Linked DNA regions of Mus musculus. The protein of the gene in region 2 interacts with the protein of the main gene of each other region in a pairwise test. Links are inferred from orthologs where the notes say so. Each region holds a gene or a part of one and is shown on either strand. Other genes may lie near its edges.

Region 1 (4,266 bases), on a different chromosome or scaffold from region 2:
TGGGCAGCCCACTCACCTCATCCTCCGTCTTCTGCTTCTTGGCTACTATTCCCGTCTTGAGGGCTAGTTTGTTCCCGCCTCTGCGCTTGCCCACCTGGGTGAAGGGACAGAAGACTGCAAGGGTTACAGGAGCCGGGCCCGCCCTTGGCGGTGCTGAGGCCCACTACACCTTCCTAGCGACGCCTCGCCCAGCTCCTCCAGCCGGCCGACCTGCGCAGCAATCAGAGAGGAGCACACTCGACTCAGCACCTGCCCTGGGCTGCCATGCCCAGGCAGTCCTGGGCCCCAGGCTACCCTCCCAGGGGGGGCAGAGGAGTGCTGACCTTGCTGGGAACTGGCTCTGTCCTCACTCTTTCTGCCAGGCCTCACACTGTCCTGTCAGGGACCACACAGCTTCCTTTATTGAGCTTCACTATCTATTGAGCCCTACAGACCACACAGAGCGCTGTGACCGTGGTATCTCCTCTCATATTCACAGTTATGCTATTTGAAGGTAATAACTATCTCCTTTTAGAAATAAAGACAAGTTTCTGGGAGAAATAGGACAGGCTGCCAACAACAGACTCAGGATCAGATGTGCAAGGCCAGCGGGAGCACCCTGAACCACAAAGCATCCCTCATTCTCCTACCCTGAGCTGGCCTGGCGTTTTTAGGAATATAATGACAATGGCTACTCAGGAATAAGTCAAAGAGGCAGTGACACCACTGTTGCTCCTATTCCTGGACTGTCACATCAACCCAGGCCCTGTTACTTTCCACTTCCTCTAAGAACAGTCTGGCTCTGGGTTTTCACCCTGGCCCCATGTTCTCCCTTTAACTGGGGGCCTTCAAGAGATTATCCTGTTCTTACCCTTTAACTAGGCAGTGACTGCTGGACTATTCCCACAATCGCTTTTGTGCAATACTGCAGGTGGAATCTAGGATCCCATGCATTCAAAGCGATCTTCTGCTGAGTTAAATCCCCAGATCTCGTTTCTGAGACGGGGTCTCACTAAGTTGCTCAGGCTGGCTCTGAACTCATTCTGGACGTCAGATCCTTTCACGTCAGATCCTTTCTCAGCTCCTGAGTAGCTGATACTACAGGCACACACTACTGGACACACACACACACACACACACACACACACACACACACACACACACACTGTGTTGTTTTTAGAAACAATGTAACCTTTGTTCAGACTCTGCAATCCTCCTGCCTCAAGCACCACAGTGCTAGGATTCCATGTATGTGCCACTTTGGAGGCTCACACACACCCCCTTTTAAGACCTAAACAAACTTAAGCCTTACCCCAAACCACAGAACTGGATCCAAGATTTGACCCACAGTCTGTTATTCTCAAACCAACATTTCTTCCTCCCCACTACAAGGTCTCAACATCAGAGACAAAGCAAGCTCAAAACTAACAGAGTATATGTCCAACTTATTTAACCCGAGGCTCCTCAACATGACACTTGACATTTTCAGCTAGATCATTCTTTGTTATCCCTTGCGTTATAGGATACAGAAGAGCATCCCTGCTATCTACCTATAGATGTCACTAGCATCTCCTCTTAAGAGTTTGACAACCAAAATGTCTACAGACTTTACCAAATACATGAGGATGAAGAGACTTGCTCCCAGTAGAGAACCACTGGTCTTGTTCTTTAAGAGTCTGTTCTGACTTTCCTAGGACCACTTCATGAAATACATCAAAATCTCAATTATTAGAACTACAGAAAATCAGGATAGGCCACCCACACTCCAAACAAACAACGTTCTTTTCTGTCAAAGACACCACCAATAAATACTCAGCACAAGATAAGGTGCTAAATAAATGGACATTAGTTAAATAATAAAGAAAGGAATCGATTGATCTTGCTAAGGCCACAAAGTCGGTGATTTGCTTTTTGTTATTGGTTGGTTGGTTTTGTTTAGTTGGGACAAGGTCTCACTTTTTCGAATTCTCCTCTTCTTGCATCCGGAGTGCTTGTAATACAAGGCGTGTACCACCACGCCCGGCTACGGTCCGTGGTCCGAGTCGAGTCTAACGATTACAGCAGACTCGGGATTTAAATGTGTCTCCTCTTTTTCCCCCACATTATATGTGGGCCTCACTATTCAAAGTCTGGGTACAAATCAAACGGGAATCCTAGCATCTAGGGCCCCCTAACCCCAGAGCGCTGCTTCCAATGCAATTTCCCGGTTCTCAGGTCCCACGAATGAGATCTAAGGATTCCCATTCCCGCCCAGAAACACCTCTGGTCCGGAATCCAGGCTCGAGATTCTCAGCAAGCGACCGGGACCGTCCAGGCAGCCGGGCGGAGGACTGCCTTGGACCATGACGCCCCTTCCCGGGCCCGACTCCCCCAGCCAACGCGGGCCCCGGCGCCCGCCCCCACCCCCGCGGCTCCTTACGAAGCTGAGCGTGGGGCCTGGGCCGCCCTTCCTCTTCGGATTCCCTGGGCCCGCCGCGGCGGAGGCCGGTGGATCGGGTCGCTGCGGGCCCGGGGGTGGCTCCTCCTGCCGCTGCCGCTGCTCCTCCTCCATCTTCCGCTTGAACAGCTCCAGGAAGCTGCCATCGTTGGCAAACAAGTTCACACCGCTGGACACCGGACTCGAGCCCGACACCTCGTCGTCCCCACTCTCGGGTGACGTTCCCGGTCCCGACTCAGCCCATCGGCTCCTGCCGCTGCCCGCCGGGCCGGGCGCCTCCCGACCCGGAGGCTCCGCCCGTCTCCCTCGGGCAGCCATTTTGTGGCCAGATGCCGTGCAAAGGACGTCGGGAAAGGCTCTCAGACCGCGCGCTTGGCGCGGGACTGGCTTCGTCTGGAGCAATGCATGCTGGGAAGAGAGGTCGGAACCCAGAAGCCAACGCAGAGTGGGCGGAGCTTAGGTGGGGCCAAAGGGTTCTGACCTGGCCACCAGGCGATGGAGCCCAGAAGCCGGTCCCTTTCCTTCTGGTCCTCGGTTCCCTAATCCTGCTAGATACGAGTTAGCTAAGCAGCCAGAAGCTCCCCGAGAATGGGACCATCGTTTGGGACCCAGGCCCCCTGTAAGGGCTAAGAGAACAATCCCAGGCAGCCACCAGAACTCTGTAACTGAACGGATCTTGTTTGGAGCCTGTGTTTTCAATTGTCCCTTGGGAACTTGTGTGGCCCCTAACTAGGTCTACAAAGCATATCTAACTTGATACCTCCTATTAGAATGGAAGCATCTCCAGGTTTGACATCTGTCTCTGAAGTTAATCTCTTAGCTTGAAATAAAAATACCGCTGGCAGCGGGGCGTGGTGGCGCACGCCTTTAATCCCAGCACTCAGGAGGCAGAGGCAGGCGGATTTCTGAGTTCGAGGCCAGCCTGGTCTACAAAGTGAGTTCCAGGACAGCCAGGGCTACACAAAGAAACCCTGTCTCGAAAAACCAAAAAGAAAGAAAGAAAGAAAGAAAACCGCTGGCTGCGTGCAGCTAGACACTGCCTGAGATTAGTATTTAAAGAGGCTGGAGCACTAAAATGAAGCCGAACGTATTTCCAGGCTGAGAACCTAAGACTTAATGTTTTGAGCTGCGTACTGCATGAAGGGACTAAGGACCCTTGTATTCTTTCCCAAGGACAGGGACTCGATTAAAATTGCATTTGCTGAACTTGGAGCACACCCAGAGAGAAAGCAGAGTGCCAAGCGCAATAAGAGTTTCAGAAATTAAAGTTCTTTCTACAAGGACGACTTGTTGCAGGAATCATTCCTGCCCAACATGGGAGTTCCGGGAACACAGGGGGAAAGTCTGCATACTCTGCAGCAAATGGAGTCTTTTAATCGACCCTCAGCCAAATAACCAGTTCGTTCGTAATTGGTTTGCGACAGAAACCATGTGGCTCACAACCAACTGGGTAACTGGAGGACCGGAAGAGATGTTGAGGTCCAACACAGAAAGTAAGGGGGAAATGATAATCAGGAAACTGAGCCTATGGAATCAAGAGCTACCTCTGCTCTAACTTCACGCAAAAAGCTTGGCCAGGATGTTTGCCTGGTTGCTAAGGAGAGGTTGACGCCTGCAGGGACTTGAGCGTGACTAGTGGAAGTAAGACAAGATTCATCCAATGAAAAGAGTGCCGCAAGACTCAGGGCCCAATCAGTGAAGAGCAGTAGTCTGGGTCATACCAATATGTCCGCGAGACAGGGGAATCCTTAGAAAACTACAGACAAAAGTTCACAAAGGTGAGCCCTTGACTCATAAAATGGTGAAAAGATAGCGCTCATTATCTCCAAATGTCAATGCAGGAGTAAAAT
Region 2 (3,383 bases):
AAAAATTACATCTTTAAACAAAAGAAGAGAAAAAAAAAAAAAGAAGAGAGGTGGCTCAGCGGTTCAGACTGTTCTTTCAGAGGACTAACATACACAGGACAAACCACAATTGTTTCTAATTCCAGATCCAAGAGATCTGAGGCACACACATGCATGCAGTCACAAATACTCACAGGTACATACATCTGTATATATTAAAATACACATGCATTAGAAATAAACATTTTAAAATGTAAATTAAAACAAAACAAAAAAAGAGCCAGCAAGGTGGTTTAGCAGGCAAAGGCACCTGCCCGTAAGCCTGATAACCCGAGCTCAAGCCCAGGATCCAATAGGGTGGAAGAGAATTGCTTCGAGTTCTGACCTCCACTCATGTCCATGGGCATGAACACTCGTGAACACACATAATTAAGCAAAAATGTAACTTAAAAATGAAAATAAATCAGAGATGGAAAGTTTGAGAACAGAAGTGATCTGCAGGACAAAACAAGACACACAGCTACCACCACTAGCTGCAAAGTGTGACACAACCCGAGGACCAGGAGACAAAGACAGGAGGCGGCACAATTCAGCTGTCTTTTACCCACAGCGCTTCAGGTGCCCATCGCAGAATGGCGTGCCACTTCTTTCTTTCCTTCCTTTCTTTTTTTTTTGGTGTTTTGAGACAGGGTTTCTCTGTGTAGCCCTGGCTGTCCTCGAACTCAGAAATCCGCCTGCCTCTGCCTCCGCCTCCCGAGTGCTGGGAGTAAAGGTGTGCGCCACCACTTCCCGGCGGATGTCATGTCTTATTGGGTCAGCTTGAGTTCTCAAAATGAGGGCCAGAATAACCTCAACCTCCCAGTTGCTAGACTGCAGATATGTGCTATACCACCCTCCCAGGGCACGCGTCAACGCTGACACACAGTACAAGGTAAATTTTCCTTCTTTCATTTCAGGTGCTGGGGGTTGAACCCAGGACCTTATGTGAACTAGCCACACCTAGTCCTAGGCAGGGCTAAACTTTTCTCCTGTAGATCCAACTGCCCTGCATCAACACAAGGACTCTGCCATGCCTTATTAGACATCTCTCTCTATCCACAGGCCTACAGCAGGTCATCTTGAAGGCAGAGTTGGTTCCCTCCTCCTTCCACGGGACACAATAACTGAACTCAGGTCCCCTGGCTCGCTTGCAAGCACTTTACCAGCACAGATAGCATCATGATCAGGTCTGCCTTAGATCTTGTGCAGGCCCCACGTCCTACAACGGCACCACAGGAAGCCTACCAAGCATTTATTTACTTCTGTAGTAATAGCTTAGCTTACTGCAGGGAAACAACTAACTCTTCATTCCTTCTCCTGCTCATAGTACTGCGGATTGGATGTACAGTCTCCCACAGGCTACGTCAATTTTTGTAGTTTATAATCCATTAGTCTCTCTAAATGAAATTTGCCTATTTCCAATAGTAGGCTGGTAAATTTTTACTTTCTATAAAGACATGGACTTAGCATGAGCATGCACAAACATGAACTCGCAAACACACACACACTGAAGTAAAGATACACAAAACCAAACCAAACTCAAAAAAGAAAATTAGGAGACAGACCTTCCCAACACTCCAGGGTACGCAGGAGAGAGAGAGGCCTGCTCCATCCATCTGGCTCCCCCAACAATGGGACAATCCCCTCACTCTACCCCACACAAAGCCATGTGGGACACTTTTCTGCACCCTGCTTACCGGTACGGGCTGGACAGCCCCCACCACGGGCGCAGCTGCCCCACCCTGAACAGCCTTTTTGGCAGCAGGTGTCTCCTGACTCTTGGGCTTCCTCTTCTCTCGTTTGCGATCTCTCTCCACATAGGTGCCCTTCATCTTGGCAATGATGTCCGAGTCAGTCTTTGCGTACTGGATGCGCTACCAATCAAGAGCAAAAAGGCCCAGGGCATGTAAATCAGGGAAAACTGCTAGCGTTCAAAATGAGACATCAAAGGAGCTTGCTAAGAAAAATCAGAGACTGATTGGTGACAACTTCCTTGTCTGTAAAATGGGGATATTTTCCACTTGGCCAGATTATTGTAGAAACTTATTGGAAGCAGCAATAGCTGGACTATAGGAAGCAGCTGTAACTGTAAGCTAGAATAGGCGCTTACAAGCTCTCCTAGGAAGAACCCAGAACACATGCTCAGACACATACTTAAACATTTTGAGACAGGGTCTCACCATATAGCTCTGGCCTGAGGTCCCAGGAATGTTACAAAGTAAACCTTTCAAATACAATGGTCAGGAAAAGTGGAAAAACAAAAGGAAGGGGTGAGAATCCTGTGGACACTGAGCATCCACCTAGCAAGAGAACAGCCAGAAAGTGAAGGGATGAGAAAGCTGGGCCTGGGATCCTAGACTGCACTTCTGCCTAGCTGTGCTGAGGATTAGAGGAGCGAGGAGGCAAGGTCACATGGACAAGGGGGACCCTTTGTGCTATTCTAGGAAGCTGTAAGGAGGGACGAGCACTCTCAGAAGAAGCTGTGCTGCGGAGACAGGGCTGGGTGTGTGGAGGAGCACTTGGGGGTGAGGGACAAGCAAGCAGAGGCGTGGTTAGAACAAGGCTTCAGTGGAGGTGGGCAGTCCAGGCAACAGCTACAGTGATAGAATGTCTGTAGGTACGGAAGACAAGTGCTGCTCAGAATCCGTTCTTCACTTGGGTTCCACCATAGTTCTGTGGTGTTTTAGGCAGGTTCCAACTCTGCAGTCCAGGTTGGGTTGAAACTCTTGGCAATCCTCCTGCCTCAGCCTCATAAGCCACCACACTCAGATACTCGATCAGTCTGTGACCCCACAGCCCCCGTATAAGGAACACAGGATGAAAGGAACAACAAAAAAAAGTAGCATCCTTAGGGACCAGCATAGGCCACAGGAGGCCCATAGCCACCCAGTCTCCTCCCACACAAACACATCAGCCTATACACATGCACACAAACACACAAACTTCACGCTCAAGACACTCACCATGGGCTTGTCGTAGAAAGGGAAGCCCTGCATGGAGCGCAGGGCATTGGTGGCGCTGGTGACCTCCTTGAAGATGACGAAGGCCTGGCCCCTCATCTTCATGATCCGAGACACCAGGATATCCAGGATCTGGCCAAACTGGGAGAAGATGGCATACAGGGACTTCTTGAGCTCTGCATTTAGGGAAGACAAGACACACTGTGACAAATGGCTGGACACTGTGTCCTGGTACTTGCACTATCCTCAGAGGTGGACCAGCCAGGCATGGTGGCGCACACCTTTAATCCCAGCACTTGCAAGGCAGAGGCAGTAAGATCCCTGAGAATCTGAGGCCAGTCTGGTCTACAAACCAAGTCCTGGACAGCCAGGATTGGCTACACTGAGAAACCCTGGCTGGGGATT
Region 3 (4,056 bases), about 3.5 Mb from region 2:
ACATGGTCAGGGATGTACTGAGTGAAGACAGTATCAGGATGGAGATAGGGATCTGCAGCAGGGCAGAGCCAGAGTTCTTGAACCCAGACAAGTGTGCCTGGCCAAAAGTGAGGTCTTGGTCCCCAACCTACCTGCTCGCCTCAGGAACATGGCCTCTCGAGCCTCAGGACTGTCCAGGTGACCACGATCGGCAGGGCCAAAGCCAACTGTGGGGAGGAAGAGATGAGGATGGTGGGAGGCAACCTTTGGGCACCCCCTTTTACCACCCTGCCTGAAACAGGACCCCTCATTTTGTCACTTACCTGGGCCCACAAAAGGAGGGCCTCCCACCATGGGAGGAACAACTGTGGCTGCAGCAGCTGCCCTGGCCTCCAGAGTCTGTTGGACCTATTGGGGAGGAGTTGTGGCTCAGAGATGCTGGCTCCCCTGGCAGGTTAATACTTTTACCCTTTATTTTATGGGTCTGGTGACCAGTCAGAGTCTGCTACAAGGTCTCTTCACTGGGGCTTCTGTCGCCATACTAAATAAAGCTATTTTTGTTGTTTTTGTTTGTTTTTCAAGACAGGGTTTCTCTGTGTAACCCTGGCTGTCCTGTGACTCCATCTGTAGATCAGGCTGACCTCAGACTCACAAAGATCTGCCTCTGACTTCCAAGTGCTGGGATTAAAGGCATGTGCCACCACCACTTAATAGCTTAAGCTTTTATTATTAATATCTCCCAGGATCAACTTTTCTGACTCAGTTCCCTACAGCACTATCTCCCATCCAAGGACTAACCAGGGCCCTGTGATTTCTGAGAGCAGGTATGTTCAGAGTGAGGCTGCAGACCCCACACTATCTTAACTAATGTTCGACCTGTTCTCCCTGTTGTCTACCTCTACCTTACCTAGATTATTAGCCTCTTTCTCCATCTCCTTGAACTCACCCTTGCTCTCTCTAGTATATTATCAAGACAGCCAAAGCTACATGCTTAACCTATAAGTTGGACCATTACCACCCACCTTAGAATTCTCTAGTAGTTCCTCATTTCATCTTAAAGTGGCTCAGAAGACCCTGCTAGATCTAGCTTCCATCACTGTTTTAATCTTCTCCATTTTCCCTTTTGTTTGCTCCTCTCTAGCCACTGACCTCTCTGCTGTTGCATGAACAAGACAATGCTGTCTCAGTCTTTGCATGGACAACTTTTTGCCTGGGATAACATCACTCCAGACATCTGCATGGTTCAGTCATCTCATTTATATCTTTGCTTTACTAATACCAGATCAAAAAGGCCTTCCCTGACTGCTAATAAAACTCTTACCACTTTGTAAGGTCAAAGAAACAACGGGAACTTTTCTGTTTTGTTTTCTCCTATACACCCCTTGCTTAGAACAGTGCCTAGTGCTGAGAAGGCACAAGAGTGCCTTTGATCTTTTTTGTTCCCTCCACAATGCAAGGGATTGAACCCACGGCTTTGACATGCCAGGCATGAGATTATTACTAAGCTGCATCCCAGCCCACCTAATAACTGTGAACAGAATAAACACGTTTTCTCTGCTGGTGTTCCTCTAAATAGTTCCCCCCTGTTTCCTTCTTTCCTCGGCTTCTTTCTTACAGCTGACTATTAAGCACCTGGAATATTATCCATGAGTCTTGGGAATGACAACACAGATATACATTTTAATATTGTTTTGGTTTTTTTGTGGTGGTAGTGGGCTTAGAAAATAGGACTCTGCCAGGCTAAGTGCTCTACCACTGAACTACACCCCAAATCTGTGAATAAAAACTTTCAAGAGATTTTTTTTTTTGTTTGTTTTTCGAGACAGGGTTTCTCTGTATAGCCCTGGCTGTCCTGGAACTCACTCTGTAGACCAGACTGGCCTCGAACTCAGAAATCCACCTGCCTCTGCCTCCCGAGTGCTGGGATTAAAGGTGTGCGCCACCATGCCTGGCTCAAGAGATGTTTATATAGAATAATCTAACACTGCAGAAAGTTCTACCGGACAGGCACTGTAGAATATTAGTTTCCAATGGATTAAATATACTGTCTTGCATCCTGAGTCCCTGGCACTTAAGTGGTCATGCCAGCCAAAACATCAATCGCTGTCCATAGATAAGCCCTTATTGGGACCAAACCATTCTGTTCTCCCGACTCAAGCTGTAGCTCTCACCTTACCTGTTGGTATGTGTTGGTGGCGATAATTGGGCGGATCACAGGAGCTGGGGGGACCTGCATCGCTTCTACCGTGGGCACCGCAGGCACAGCAGTTGGGATTCCGGTCACCGGAGCTCCCAATACTTCTTGCTCAAACCTGGGGGAGCGGGACAGATACCATAGGTCAGGTCTCACCAAGCCTGAGGTGCTGGGTACTTCTCCACCGCGCCTTCATCCCAGCTAATGCCTCCCCGCATCCCTCGGGTCCCACGGCCCCTTATGGAACCACATCTCAACCTTCTGAAGACCTGGAGGCTACAGGGTTAATTGGGTTTGCCCGGGAACAGCTTTTATTTCTCCTACTCAGGGCCTTACAGGGCCATCTCCGCCTCCATTTCTTTCAAGCGTTCCTCGCCGCTCTTGCCCGGGATGCCGACACCAGGCCCCGGGACCACCGGCCCTCCCGCCACCGGGAGTCCCGGAGCCGGCCCTGCTCCGGCCATCGCTGATGCCATAGCCTTCACCGCTCCTTCCAGCAGCCGCAGCGGGTTCTACGGTCGAGTCCCTGTCGTCTCAGGGTGGGAGCCGGCCGATGACGTATGGACTACCGCGACGGATGCGCTGCGTGAGGACGTAGTTTAAGAACAGGGGCTGAGACTTGGCCACACCCCCAGAGCGAGCAAAAGCCAATTAGAGTGTCGGAAAGTCAGGGCCCCGGAAGGGCCTCTAATCTGACAGACGCGGCTGTACGGATAGGCCCCGCCCTCGTAGAGAAAGGTGGGCGAATGAGAGCGAAGCAACGTCACTTTGACCCACCCCGCTGTGGAAGCCGGAACTTTGAGGAGGCACGGAAGTTCGGAGGTCCTTCCAGAAGTTTGTAAACACTGCAAAGCCAGGGTAGGAGTCTTTTGCACTCGGTGGACAGATACACTGCCAGGGGTCAGTTCATTATTCTTTTTTTGAATAAAATTTAATTTTACTGACTACCTCCATGGTTTTCTTTTTTTCATTTTGGGGTTTGGTTTGGTTTTGAGCCCAGGTATGGAACTTCCTAGGTTGACATAGGCTTTCAAGTGCTGGGATTATGGATACAGAACAAAATATTGGCTTTTAAAAAAGATTTATTTATTATTATATCTAACTACACTGTAGCTGTCAGACACACCAGAAGAGGGTGTCAGATCCCATTACAGATGGTTGTAAGCCACCATGTTGTTGCTGGGAATTGAACTCAGGACCTCTGGAAGAGCAGTCAGTGCTCTTAACTGCTGAGCCATCTCTCCAGCCCCCCAAATATTGGCTTTTATACTAGAGATATCTAGAGAGAAGTGTGGAGGTACATGTCTTTAATCCCATAATTTAGGAGATAGCCATGCAGATCTCTGGATTTAAGGTCAATCTACAGAGCAAGTTCCAGGACAGCCAAGCTTAGGCAATGAGGGAGGTGGAAAACAGAAAGCTGGTAATAGAATGGGGTTGGGGGTGGGGTGATGTTCCAGCATGTGGCTCTGGCTTTAGAGTGAAAAAGAGAAGAGACTACTGGGACAATTGATGCTGGTTAGCTGGAGCTAAGAAATTAGCGGTGATTAAGAAGAGACCAGCTGAGCCGGGTGTGGTGGCGCACGCCTTTAATCCCAGCACTCGGGAGGCAGAGGCAGGTGGATTTCTGAGTTCGAGGCCAGCCTGGTCTACAGAGTGAGTTCCAGGACAGCCAGGGCTACACAGAGAAACCCTGTCTTGGAAAAAAACAAACAAACAAACAAACAAAAGAGACCAGCATCTGGGGCTGTAGAGATGGCTCAGCGGTTAAGAGTACCAGATGCTCTTCCAGAGGACCTGGGTTCAATTCTCAGCAACCACATGGTGACTCCCAACCATCTGTAATGGGATCTAATGCCCTCTTCTGGTGTGTCTGAAGACAG

The links. The genes of interacting proteins can lie anywhere in the genome.
Region 1: the proteins of Snrpa (region 2) and Trir interact in binary tests that used the Homo sapiens proteins (3 or more experiments, as listed by UniProt). The link is inferred for Mus musculus from reciprocal best matches to the Homo sapiens genes SNRPA and TRIR.
Region 3: the proteins of Snrpa (region 2) and Rbm42 interact in a two-hybrid assay, tested with the Homo sapiens proteins (2 studies listed by BioGRID and IntAct). The link is inferred for Mus musculus from reciprocal best matches to the Homo sapiens genes SNRPA and RBM42.

Annotation. Positions count from the first base shown.
Region 1 is NC_000074.6:85,025,367-85,029,632, reverse strand, and holds the start of Trir (telomerase RNA component interacting RNase), read right to left. Parts: upstream 2,801-4,266; 5' UTR 2,735-2,800; coding exon 2,399-2,734; intron 211-2,398; coding exon of another isoform or gene 124-210; exon of another isoform or gene 95-123; coding exon 17-94; exon of another isoform or gene 15-16; intron 1-14. UniProt on the Homo sapiens protein: Exoribonuclease that is part of the telomerase RNA 3' end processing complex and which has the ability to cleave all four unpaired RNA nucleotides from the 5' end or 3' end with higher efficiency for purine bases.
Region 2 is NC_000073.6:27,189,889-27,193,271, forward strand, and holds part of Snrpa (U1 small nuclear ribonucleoprotein A), read right to left. Parts: intron 3,155-3,383; coding exon 2,982-3,154; intron 1,893-2,981; coding exon 1,716-1,892; intron 1-1,715. UniProt on the Homo sapiens protein: Component of the spliceosomal U1 snRNP, which is essential for recognition of the pre-mRNA 5' splice-site and the subsequent assembly of the spliceosome. U1 snRNP is the first snRNP to interact with pre-mRNA.
Region 3 is NC_000073.6:30,647,429-30,651,484, forward strand, and holds the start of Rbm42 (RNA-binding protein 42), read right to left. Parts: upstream 2,801-4,056; 5' UTR 2,650-2,800; coding exon 2,510-2,649; intron 2,292-2,509; coding exon 2,156-2,291; intron 388-2,155; coding exon 303-387; intron 207-302; coding exon 132-206; intron 1-131. UniProt on the Homo sapiens protein: Binds (via the RRM domain) to the 3'-untranslated region (UTR) of CDKN1A mRNA.